Linked DNA regions of Cricetulus griseus. The protein of the gene in region 3 interacts with the protein of the main gene of each other region in a pairwise test. Links are inferred from orthologs where the notes say so. Each region holds a gene or a part of one and is shown on either strand. Other genes may lie near its edges.

What was found. The genes of interacting proteins can lie anywhere in the genome.
Region 1: the proteins of Fate1 (region 3) and Lnpep interact in binary tests that used the Homo sapiens proteins (3 or more experiments, as listed by UniProt). The two-hybrid records come from large-scale screens. The link is inferred for Cricetulus griseus from reciprocal best matches to the Homo sapiens genes FATE1 and LNPEP.
Region 2: the proteins of Fate1 (region 3) and Ndufb11 interact in binary tests that used the Homo sapiens proteins (3 or more experiments, as listed by UniProt). The two-hybrid records come from large-scale screens. The link is inferred for Cricetulus griseus from reciprocal best matches to the Homo sapiens genes FATE1 and NDUFB11.

Annotation. Positions count from the first base shown.
Region 1 is NC_048595.1:295,779,664-295,783,921, reverse strand, and holds the start of Lnpep (leucyl-cystinyl aminopeptidase), read left to right. Parts: upstream 1-1,355; 5' UTR 1,356-1,498; coding exon 1,499-1,517; intron 1,518-4,258. UniProt on the Homo sapiens protein: Release of an N-terminal amino acid, cleaves before cysteine, leucine as well as other amino acids. Degrades peptide hormones such as oxytocin, vasopressin and angiotensin III, and plays a role in maintaining homeostasis during pregnancy.
Region 2 is NC_048604.1:125,416,231-125,420,156, forward strand, and holds Ndufb11 (NADH dehydrogenase [ubiquinone] 1 beta subcomplex subunit 11, mitochondrial), read right to left. Parts: upstream 2,591-3,926; 5' UTR 2,551-2,590; coding exon 2,350-2,550; intron 1,084-2,349; coding exon 953-1,083; intron 776-952; coding exon 652-775; 3' UTR 604-651; downstream 1-603. Other genes in the region: Rbm10 (RNA-binding protein 10), read left to right, coding at 3,319-3,388. UniProt on the Homo sapiens protein: Accessory subunit of the mitochondrial membrane respiratory chain NADH dehydrogenase (Complex I), that is believed not to be involved in catalysis. Complex I functions in the transfer of electrons from NADH to the respiratory chain.
Region 3 is NC_048604.1:3,690,818-3,694,955, reverse strand, and holds the start of Fate1 (fetal and adult testis-expressed transcript protein), read left to right. Parts: upstream 1-1,267; coding exon 1,268-1,373; intron 1,374-1,868; coding exon 1,869-1,996; intron 1,997-2,919; coding exon 2,920-3,026; intron 3,027-3,323; coding exon 3,324-3,399; intron 3,400-3,771; coding exon 3,772-3,903; 3' UTR 3,904-4,138. UniProt on the Homo sapiens protein: Involved in the regulation of endoplasmic reticulum (ER)-mitochondria coupling. Negatively regulates the ER-mitochondria distance and Ca(2+) transfer from ER to mitochondria possibly implicating it in the regulation of apoptosis.

The DNA of each region.
Region 1 (4,258 bases), on a different chromosome or scaffold from region 3:
CTCAGGGGCCAGCAAAGGACAGGCACGTTGAGGGGTTATTCCAAGTACAGGGGGTATTCACAGGACGTTGTAAATCAGGAGTGGGGTTGCACTTCTGTTTTACTTCTTTGAACGCAATTCGTATTTCCTTATCGGTCGAACAACATCGCAGCCTCCCCTCTTTTGCCCACGATGTTTGTGCAAGCCCAGGTTTGTTTGCACCAGACGTCAGGGATGACAGCCTGGGAGGAGTGTGTGACAGTTGGCTAGCACCATGAGGCCCAAGGCCGAGCCAAGTCGCCGCACAGACCTCGGCTGTGCGCGGGCGGGGGAGAGCTGTGACTGCTGCTGGGAGGGACTGAGGCCTCACCGCAGGGTGAGGGACCAGCAAACAAACACCTTGAGAACCTTCCCTGGGGCTCTCCCCTACACGGTCTCCAAGGGTCTCCTAGGCTGGTGGGGGCTGCCCTGATTTGGCACCGGAAACAATGGGGACTCGGAGCCGGAGGCGATGGCTCGAGGCCTGGGAGGGGGGAAGGGGAAATTTAGCTGCCTCTGGTCGAGCTCTGCGGGGCCAGGCCGCAAGCCCCGACCAATGGCTGCGAGCAAGGGAATCGCAGGTGTCGAGTTAGGACCGGACTGGGATGGCGGGCCTCTGCCCACACCTCTTCGCGCATGGACTGTTTTCCCGTATCCCACGCCGGGTTTTATGTTCTGCTCTCATCTCCAAGCCCGGCCCTGAGCAAAAAAAAAAAAAAAAAAAAAAAAAAAAAAAAAAAAAAAAAAAAAAAAAAAAACTGAACTAGGCGGAGCCCCTCTCCCTCCTTCCCTCCCTTGCGTCGGGCGCTTGGTAGAGGCTGGTGCAAGGCTGTGCTCCTCTGCTGGAAGGAAGTCCTGCCGACAAGCGCCGCGGGGCTCGCCCTGGCGGTTAGGAAGAGAGCCGTCGGGGGTGGGGGGGTAGGTGAGGGGTGTAGCCTGCGGCAGAGACCGATGCTCCCCGACCCGGCCCTGCCCATCTTTCAAACCGCGAATTTAGCGACAACCCCTCCGCTATCCACTCGGCCATCACCGGCCGCGTGTCCGGGCTCAGCACTGGGGTTGCCGCACCCCGGACGAAGCCGAACGCAGTAGGTGCCATCAGTTCTGGGGAGCAGGGGTGCAGCTCTGCGGCACGGAAAGCTCGGCGGCCTCGAAGTATGCCGCTGGGGGCGGGGCTTGCGGAGGGGGCCCCGCCCCAGCCCTGCCTCGCCCTGCTCCGCCTCTCGGCGGAGTGGGCCAGGGGTTGAGCTGCGCTCCGCGTCCACGCCTCGGTGGGTTTTTTTTTTTTTTTTTGCAGCTGCGAAAACCCGGAACGAAGGTGTTGTTGCCGCGCGGGGGAGCGGCGCCGCCTCTCGCCGCACCTCCCCGACAGCTCTAGGAGGCCTCGCTGGGCATGCTCAGTCGGCAGGGCCGCTTCAGCTCTCGTAGTAGGAAGCTTGGGGCGCTGGGCTCGTGAGGACCCGAGCGCGGCGGAGTGGAGATGGAGCCCTTTACCAATGGTGAGTGCCTAGCCGGAGACGCGGATTCCCGGGCTTTCAGGGTCCAGAGGGTCGGTTGTGGCACGGGGGTCCGGCCGCCCGGCTTCCCCGCCTAGGGTTTCCCAGGGGGGCCGGGGGCGGCATAGGGGCCCGGGGGTAGTAGGGCGAGCGTGAAGGTCAGACCTCTTCCGGGGGCCCCCACCGAGCCTTCAGGTGAGGCCGTGGCAAAGTTTGGGATGCTTGCGCGGAGGAGGGGACAGCCGCAAAGTTGGCAGTCGCGTTCGTTCCCGGGGAGGCGGCCAAGGCTCGGATGAGCGGCTCCCGGGAGAAAGCCCGTGCTGGGAGCCTGGAGCTGTCCGCTCGCTCCCTCGCTCGCCCTTCAGCGAGCGGCTCGCATGCCTTTCCGTAATAGGGCGGGGTGGGGCCGCTGGGCTGGCAGCGTGATTTAGTGCACCGCAGGGAAGGAAACTGACCCGAGGCTGGCTGGTACTGTGCTCTCCCCCCCCCGTATGGTACTGTGTCCCCTTCCCCCCATTGCCACCTTTCTCTCCGCCGGTGCTGCCGAAGCACTCCGCCGGACGACCAAGTTTCTTTTTGCCTGCTGGGAATATTGATTGGCCTCCTAGTCAGGGACCCATTGAGTATCTATGCTTGTATCATTTAGGTGACGGGGTGAAAGTCAAAACAACTTGCGTCCAGAAAACAGCCATGGCCTTTCACTCCACGGCTTTTGTCTGGGCTAGAAGTGCCCAGTAGGGGTGAGATGTTTCACCATTTTATGGTGCTAAGTATCTGGGTTCCCCATTGGGATGTATAAAGTAGGAAAGCTGCTAATAAACGATAGGACGTGCTGAAATGGTAGGGTCCACTTTGTAGTTGGCCTGCATTTCCAGTGTGGTTGGTTACTTCTGGTAGGTAGAAAATCAAATTAATAGGAGACAGGTGTATTACTATTTGGGTGGCTTGCTTGCCACTTCAGGGACGGGGCGCAGGGCAGGGGGTGGGGTGGGGGGAGACGTTGCCCACTATCCACTCTCCTGCCCGACTTTGTTGTGTACTTTAACTTTATTCCTGGGGCTGTGACTTACTCATTATGCTCTCCTTTTCCCTATTTCAGAATGCTTTATTCTACTGCCATCTTTCTGTCCGCACTGTTTAATTAGGCGTAATGATGACAGCTTTAACTCTGAACTTTTTCCCCCCTCATTTGTGTTCTATTTGTAATACCAAGGCTCCAAGAATAGTATGGTAAAAATTCCCAGATAATTAAGCAAGATTTGAACTGAACGGCACCATAGAGACCATCTAGTACTTGGATGTAAAATATGCTTAAAAACATTCGAAGGCAAATTTCTTTCTTCAAAATAAAGAGGCAGAATTCAACTTTCATATAGGAAGTTGGATTTCTAATTCTTTTCTGTCTACCAGATTTTCACAGTTGATGCTGGAGGCTAGTTGGCAATATGCCATTTGAGTTAATGTGGTCTTGTCCTCCTTTCACAAGGAAAATAGGCACTACAACATAGAAAGTCAACACCTGGGATACTGCTAACTTTAAGTGACTTTGAAGATTTTAAGGTGGACTAGGTACTTCAAAACTTTAGAAAGTTTTTGCTGTAGAATTTTCTAGTGTCTTCAAATATAATATTATATAATGGAAACTACATTTTTATATTTAGTTGTTTTGAGTGCGTAACATGTCCATGCAATTCTATAGTTAGTCTCTTACAGACTATTTTATCATCTTTTGAATGTGATTGAGTGATTTATCAAGCTTAATATTGGCTTTTGTTAAACATTGATCCTCTTTTAGCAAATCTTTCTCATTTACATGGTCTTGTATGTCCCGACATAGACCCAGGACTTTCTTAAAATACTATCAGTAGTTCATTCATCAATCTACAAGTTTATAAAGTAAATGAATTTAGTCTTGTCATCCCAGCCTTCAGTACTCATTGATTTCTGTAGTGTTCCTATTTTCTGTGAAATGTGCTGCTGGTGTGGCTCATTTTCTTGAGCCCAGCCAGCTGCCTAAAGTAATGTAATGAGTTCTTGTGTTAAATATCTTATGTTCGCCTGTCCGATTAATAACTCTTAGAACCCATTTAAAATTCATGTTTCTAGAAAAGGCCTGTAAGGATGGACTTCAGTGCCAGCCTATCTGACTCAGGAAATATTTTTGGCCTTGACCTTGAGAGGGACTGTTACCACACTGAAGACTGGCCTGGCTTTGGTTCTCTGGTGACTTTTTTATGGGTAGAGGAATGTGTTGACTAGTGCTTAAGATTGGTTTGACAGTAGCTGCCTCATCCTGTTCAGCAGGTCTAGGTGAAACCTTTAGGAGAAGTGACTTGCTTCTTTACCAGCACCACAGAAAGTTGATGGAGACTGACTAGGTGTTCTGAGAGAGATAGTAAAGATTAAGAAAGCCAATTATTTGATGTCCATGTGCCTTTATCCCCATTTATTTGGAATATTTCATAATAGCTTAAATTTTTGTTAAGACATGCTAAAAGTTGGGACTCAATTGCAAAATCTGGTTGAGGAGGTCCAGGGTCAGGTCTGGAAATCTCTGACTAAATTTTGAAGCTACTAGAAATATTCACTTAAAGAGGATTAGCAGGTAAACAAATACAGTCTTCCAAACATGGGGAAAAATTGTTATTATTTAGTGTATGTTTTGCTAGCAGATGCTAGTTTGTGTTGTAATTACAGGCAAATCTAGTGGTTGGAAAATCACTGGTATATTGAGGTGCCGTAAC
Region 2 (3,926 bases), about 120 Mb from region 3:
ATGCCTTTAATCCCAGCACTCAGGACTCAGAGGCAGATGATCTCTGTGAGTTCGAGACCAGCCTGGTCTACAAGAGCTAGTTCCAGGACAGCCTCCAAAGCCACAGAGAAACCATGCCTTAAAACCCCCATTCCCCAAAAAAGAAAGTAATTTTATGGTTGGGGGGTCACAACATGAGGAACTGTATTAAGGGGTTGCAGCATTTTGAAGGTTGAGAACCACTGATATAAGCAGCCCAGGTTACTATACTGAAGACTTAAGTGCCAGGCTTTTTTTTTTAATTTTCTTTTTTTAGAAACCTTGGCTGTAAAAACCAGATGTGCTTCAGATGCCTCTAGCTCTAGCTACTACCTAACAGCAACTACCTGAGATCCAAGAGGAGCCAAATACCCTTAGTGTGCAACCCACAGGGCCATGGGATAGAGTACTAAGTCACCAAAACCTTAGTGTTGCACAGCTCTAGACAACCAAGAAAACCAGCAATGGCCCTTGTAAGGCTTGTCACACTCTCTCATATATCCTCTTCCACAACAAAAGCAACAGTAACCAGTCCTTCTTTCAATCCCTTTAATAAGGTGCTTGGAGGAACCAGAAGAATAAAAGGCAGGGGGTGGACAAAGTAGTGCTTCTTAAGCCCTTCTCAGTAATTCATCACTCATCTTCTGGTAACTGGATCTTGCTGGGATCAAAACAGTTGGATTCCATGATGGGGAGGCCATTGGCTTCTCGATATTTCACAAGTCTCTCAGCTTCCCGGCGGGCCCACTCTTGCATCCTAGAAGCAGCAACAGGTGTGGTCGGATGTAAGAGAGCCTCACCAGACACCAGTTCCCCACCTCAGGACCCCATTCTCCACCAGTTCAGAGCAAGGATTCTGGTCAGAGACTTTTCAACCTTTACCCTTGCTTCTGCCTCTGCCCACTCACTCTACTCTCTTAGAAAACCCACATACCTGTAGTCAGGCAGATAAGCCATAAAGGTGGTACCCAAGACCAGGACGATGGAAAAACCAAAGAAGAAGACAACTCGCATATTCCAGACGTCCACCACAGGGTCCTGGTCATAACCATGGAAGTCTGGGTTCTGAGGAGAAGGAGAAGTCAATAAGGGCTTCCTGCTGCTTCATAGATGCTGGCCCTGCGTATATCTTTATGCAGAGCCAGCATATATCTGCATACTGGTCTCTAATCTGCCCTCAAACCAATTTCTTATTCCTCACTAAAATCCTTTTCCTATTCTTAGGGTATGTGAAGTTCTTTCTCACTAAAGGGCTTTGATATTTGCTGCCCCCACTGCTTAGAAAGCTCTTCCCCAAATCTAATCAGAGCCGTTATCCAAGGTTTTAACTTTATTTCCAAATTGGCCTCACCTACTTCTTTGGGAATCATTACCTAATCACCCTGTCTGTTAAGATGCACCCTTGGGAAGTGTTATTCATAAAGCATTAAAAATGGCTAAATATTGGTAATTTCCTATGGGTCCACTTATCCTATAGCACTATATATATATATATATATATATATATATATATATATATATATTTAAGCCCCTCAACCAGAGGTTAGTGTTGATGAAGTACTTATATGCTAGGCTTTTTCAAGTATACAAACCTCACATATCCCAGTAAGGTGGAAATGGCAATAATAAACATCTTCTAATTGAATAGTTCTGAAGTGGCAGGAACTGACCATTCTGACTCATTTAATCATATGAAGCAGGTCTACTTTTTAGCTGTCCTATTACTTTTCTCACTTTACAAAGAAACTGAGGCACCAAAAGACTATAAACTACTTGCCCAAGGTCACACAAGTGAATAATTTCCAACCCAGGGTGTCTGACTACAGAGTCTCTGTTATTCATAAAGCACAGAAATTCAGTTAGTCCTAAATTCAAGTATCAGCTCCTCTACCTACTCAAGTTATGTGATCTTGGGCAAGCAACTATTTGTTCCAGTATCCTCATCCACATAATGGTAACAGTAGTAGAGTTTAACTCAAAATCATCCTGTTTTAGAACTTAGATGAGTTAATAGATACAAAATGTGTAGCACAGACTAGCACGGAGCACGTTCCATCTCAGAATTTAGCATTATCTTGATTATACTATTTCTAGCGCGCTTTGGGTGCTGTCCACTTCAAGTGTGATTTCTGTCTACAAATAAAGCAAATCCCGCTTCGAGTCCTAGACCAAAGATATCAAAACGAAAAACGTGGAAAACAAGCCAATATTGAGAATCTTTGAAGATCTTGTACACGGCACAAGCCTCCAGTCAGAGAATGTCCTCTTGGACATGGGTCTGCTAGTCTCAGATTGGCCCCTGCGGCATCCCGTTTTCCCCCTCCCTCTCACCTTCGCGTAGACGTTTTCGTCCTCGGATTCTGGGTCCTCCTGCCAGTGCATGGTCGGCTGTCGTTGCCGCTTTCTCTCCACAGTAGACGGGGAGATTACAGCCCTGGAGGATTCCCAGCGAACGCCAGCAGCTGGGAGCCCTCGAACCGCAGCTGTTACCGAAAGGCGGCGAGCACACAAACTTAACAGCCGGGCCGCCATGACAGCTTGTGCTGCTGGGTCGGAGATGGGGGAGCGGCGCACGGCGGAGGGTGGGGGGAGACACGGAAACCGTATGTGCGCAGCTGCGGTTGATCCCAGCGCGATTTTTTTCGCTCCGCCCTCACCTCGTTAAATAGATCCTGGGTATAAGTTTGTTTTCGAGGTGTGGATTGTGTTTTACTTCCCATGCCGCATCACTACCAAATTAACTTTATCCCTTTTGTCAGGCTGGGAGAAATTTGGTCTTGAGAGATCTGTTTATTTTCTTCATAAAAAAAGAAAGCGGTGACATCCAGATGGCCTTGTGGGGAAATAGGTGGAGCTTCTGCTTGTCTTTCAACTTCAACTTCAAAGGAAAGCAAGCTGTAAAAAAGCGGGTCTCACAGAGGTAGCCAATAGCTACTCTTTCTCTGGACTCCCGGGGCGTTCTCACGGGGAATGGGGCGGTGGCAAAAGATTGCCAATCAGAGAAGGCCAGGGCCAGCCCATGGCGGATGGCAGCCAATCGTCAAGGCCGGCCAGAGCGCGCTCCCTTAGTAGGAGGATGGTGGTCGGAGCGCCGGCTGCTTGCTCCTCGTCGCCATTTTGTGTTGGTGACTGCTGCCGGCTGGGAGGAGGCGGCACTGAGTTTCTTTGGGAGGGTAGCGCGTCCGGCGCGTTTCCCCTCCCCCTTTCCTCTCTTTTGCCCCCAGCCTTGGACTTGGTTGTTGCACTCGTCGGCTCCAGTTGAACTAGCAGTTCTGGAGGAAGTGGCGGCTGGCGGAGGTGATGCCTGGGAGCCCTCCCTTGACAGTCCGGGCCGAGAAGGTGAGCTCCGTTGCGGGTGGTGGGGTCCAAGGTAATGGAGCGGGGCGTGCGCGGGGGTGCGGTGTGCATAGAAGAGGCGCGCGGATGGACTGCACACACCGAGCCAAGGGATGCACCTGAGAGGGGGTGTCCCCCCCCCCGGCTTTTTCTTATGAAAGCAAAAGCGCGTGCGCGATTGGGACACGGGATGGGTGCACGAGGGTGGGGGAAGGGAGGGACAGATGGGAGTGGGGTACTGTGACTTACTGTGTTTGCTCCACTGAACTTTTATCATTTGGAACGTGTGTGACTGCGACTTTGCGTGGAAATTCTTATTTCAGGGGCGTGCTGGGTGCCCTGTGTTATCAACGGGGAAATTATCTGGCTGCGATCTCTATTCATTTATGTAGCAGGGATGGGGGTGGCGAGCGCAGAGAGGGAAAGTGAACATAGTTTTTATCCTTGGGGGGGGTGTATCTGACCTCCGGTCCTTATTGGTCAGGAACTGTCGTGTTACTGGCCGACCCCAACCTATTTAGTGAATGCTGGGGAGGGTGGGGTGGACAGAGACTATATATGCTACTTTTCTT
Region 3 (4,138 bases):
TAGTATCCAGATTCTCTGTGTATTTTCCGTCTTTATGTGGCTTTTTTATTACTTTATTTTTACTATCTTTCGTTTATTTTTTCTGAGACAGGGTTTCTCTGTGGAAATCTGCCTGCCTCTGCTTCCTTCAGCAAATCCTACCGGCGTGAGCCACCACACCCAGCTACTCTATTTCCTCCTGTTATTTTTTCTCTCACAAGCCTACATATATTTTTAAATGCAGTGTAAACCTTTAGAGGTTTTTCTTTATCTGGATCTGTCTGTATCATCTTGGGAGTGCTGAGTCCAAGGCCCAAGAGCGCCGGGACGGCGTGAGCCTATGGAAGCTGTTCCAATGCCTCTCAGCACCCTGACAGGGCAGGCTGTGGTGGCAGGTTTCCCTCATTCTCTGGGAACCTTGGGGCATGGGGTCATCCCACTCACTGACCCATTCCTTAAGGTTTGCACTTGATTCTTTCAGCACATTGGTTGAGTACAAGCACCTGACTGGGAGGAAGCCATTTTATTTAAAGTCCATTAGGGATAATAATCACAGCTGCAGTATACCTTTGCAGAAATACTGAGAGTTGAGTGTCTGATAAACTCACTGGGGATCAGAACCTGACTAAATTGACACATACATCTGGTCTAATCTGTAGAAAAACTGAGGCAGAGCTGAAACATACAGCAGGGTACACAAGCCCAGCATGTCCCTCTTGCCCCTCCCTGCTTCCTTCCCAGGATTCATATCAGACAAGGCCATCTACTTTGCTTGAAGACTCTGCATTGGAGGAGGCAGGATGTTCTGTACAGAGAAGCTCCTCTGATAGAGTGCTGTACCCTAGATTACTGGCCAGTCATGGGCTTGTAGAAACCATGATAAGCATGGGACCTGTCACTGCTTTGGGCACTTATGGATGCTTGGGCCGTATGCCAGCCCTTGTCTCTTTCTAGACCATGATGGAGGATGGGATCCTCCTACCCGTGAGTAGCAAAATCAAGGGGAGATGAATCAGGGCAGCTCACAAAAACAGTACCACTTAGAGCACTATCTCATCTCCAAGTTGCTTACACAGCAGAAGAGAAGGCGGCCACGAGACCCACCAACAAGATACAGTGGGAACTCAAGGTGCCAATCCAAGGCCTGAGCACAGAGAGGGAGAACTGGCTCCACCCTCTTGTGCCAGTATATCTCCCTCACATTTCTACCCCTGGAAGAGGCGAGCTTCCAAGTGTCTTCTCTGTGCCATCCACCCTGAACAACCTTACAAATGAATACCTGGTGGTGATGGCAGAAAGCCCTTCCAATGTCAAAGAAGGGTATAAAATGTCCATTTCTGAAGATCTAGGGACTGGAAACTTTGACCAAAGCCAAGAACAACCAGTGATGTCAGGTGAGAATCCCCTAAAAAGCCTGTTGGGTATAGTTAATCATGTGCGTTTACTTGTGCTGCTTCTACAACATCCCAGTCATTGTGCATGCTGTTTACTTAGTCTGGAAGGTTATTCGTTTGTTTTAGGTATTTCAGTGTTGATTTATGCTTTTCTTTTGCCATATTAGCTTGTTTTGGTTTTTAATCATTCATGAACCATTTACATATCTGAATTTACATGGATGGAAGATTTTATTATTGGTATTTCCTATTCTCTCATACATAGAGATGGTTTGTGTTTGGGATTTCATCTCTTGATCATTGCTCATGCTACAGAATCCTAGGCCCAGGGCCAGATTTTCAGTAAATACATACTGACCTGTTGAACAGATGGACAAATAGGCTGAGCATCAGAAGTGAATGGGTATTGAGTGATTTCTGCTGTTTTCAGTACCCAGAAAGTTCTGGTAAAACCTTTAAAGCAGTATTCATAGCAGTCTCTGTTCTTCTTTCTAGAAATGATGGAACGTGGGTCCCGGTCACTGGGAGGAATCCAAAGACGTCCAAGGGCAGAGCAAAAACCTGCTGGATCTGGTTCAGGCCAGTCATTTTGGAATGTGACTGGACCTCGTCCCAAGAAAGGGGTATTGACAAATGGTGGCTAGTTTAGGGTGGGAAGTTCTTACTTTGGGGCTCCTGTATTCCCATGGTAGATATAGCTAGAAGTTGATCATTAGGAGGAGGAAGCTTCCATATACCAATAAAGCAAATGAATGAAGGGTAGATCATTGGAAGGTTAGGGTTGTACTGTATAATGCTGGGACTTCAATGCTAGAAGTCTGCATGCCTAGCAAACATGTTGACTGGAAAATGCATCTATAGTTGACCCTCTACATTCCTAGGTCTTGCATCCATTGGCTCAATCGATCACAGATGGACACTGTCTGTGGGTGGAGGTGGAGTGATTACATCTCTAGAGAATACATGCAAGATGTTTTTCTTGCAATGATTATCTACACAATATAGTATAAGAATTACTTAGATGGCATTTACATTTTATTAGACATTATAAATAATATAGTAATTATTTCAATTATATAAAAAGATATGATTATGCTATATTCTAATATTATGACCTTTTACACAAGCAACTTGGGAATCTGCAGAGCTGCATAACCATAGTGAGGCGTTTATTCTAGAAACAGTCTCCATGGATACCAAGGGATGACTATACAATTCTTTATAAACTTCCAAGGTGTGAAATGATGTTTTCTTTTAAATTACTTAAAATCATCTTGAAGGTTTACATTCATCTTCAGTAGGTAGCTTGGGTTTTCAAGGGATGCCTGCATGTAAAAGTTCTACCAAAAGACAGAGAAGCCTGTCACTGCATTTTCCTTGGCACAGCACACAAGGCTAGAAGCTACCAATAGGCATGGTGTGTGTGTGGGGGGGGGCACAGGAAGATGAAATGACATCATGGGGCTCCTATGGGGTGTACTGTTGATTCATGCACAATGCGGTGCTAAAAGGGTGACTTGGAATGGTGTATCCTTTCTTTCTGTAGGGTCATCAGGTGCAGATGCCCCGGATGCCAAGAGATCACAGTCAGGTGGATGGCTATCTCCAGGAGTTTCCTGGCAACTTCCAAACAGGGAGGGTCCCTTATGAGCGGTAAGAGTTCAATTGTCTTGTTCCTAGCTACTGGGGGAGGAACAAGCAGAGGGTAGGGCCATAGGGACTAGTGAGCATCCGAGTCGAGAAGCAGATGTATATACTTGAAGTATTGGGATACTATTGCCTCCTGGCCATTTGGGATCTACGTATGCTTTGGCAAAGCCTCCGGCTTCTTTACTACACAAGGGAAGGACTGGGATCTTTATCCAAAAAGCCTTCAGGCATACCTTATTGCTCTGTGTCTTTTCTATGGCCACCAACACCTCTGAGCCATGTAACCTTTCCTTCCAACAGTCTGGAGGCAGATTTAGTGGCAGAGATTGGCCTGGAAGAACTCAATGGGCTGGAGATGGAAGTCATGAGAAGGCAGGTAAGCATCTGTTGTATAGTTGGAGGAAGCATCATAGTGCTTTGGAGTGGGTGATTTTGGCAGTTGTGAACAAAGCCACCCCCGAGTTTTCATAGCCTTTGTCCAAATCATATCCTGTAGCAAATGAAGTGAGGTTGGGCTCTCCTTTCTGTTCTTCTCAGGCCTCATGCCTTGAGTACCTCATGTTGATGTTCACCCTTGACTTTCCTTTATGCTGGAGATGCTGGACAGGAATTGGGGAAGAGAAAAGGATGTGGAAGGGGGAACAAAGATTCATTTTGGTTTTGGTCATATTTTCCCCCTACCCTTATGTCTTGCCTTTCTCATAAGAGTGATTCCTGCTCACAAGTCCTGTGTTTGGTCCTTCCACAGATGCAAGTGATTTCTGGGCGGCTGCGTGCCCTTGAGGACCAGGATGCCACGTGGCGCCATAAGGAGGCTGTGCTCTTTAGTTTGCTGGTCTCAGTCTGCATAGCCAACCTGTGGCTTTGGATGCGTCAGTAAAGTTTCACAAACACCACAACCCCATTAGAGCCATTCCTTTCTTTCGTCTTCCCTTTGCTTTCAAGGATGCCCTTATCCACGCCATTCTATCTCCCAGCAGCCCCCCAGGTAGCAGTTGGGTCATTTTACCCCTCTGCTTGGGCCTTCTGCCTGGAGATACGCTCACTCTATTGTGAGATTCTAGCTGCTGCGAGGCTAGGGAACCACTGGGTAGCACCATACAGGTATGCCTGGG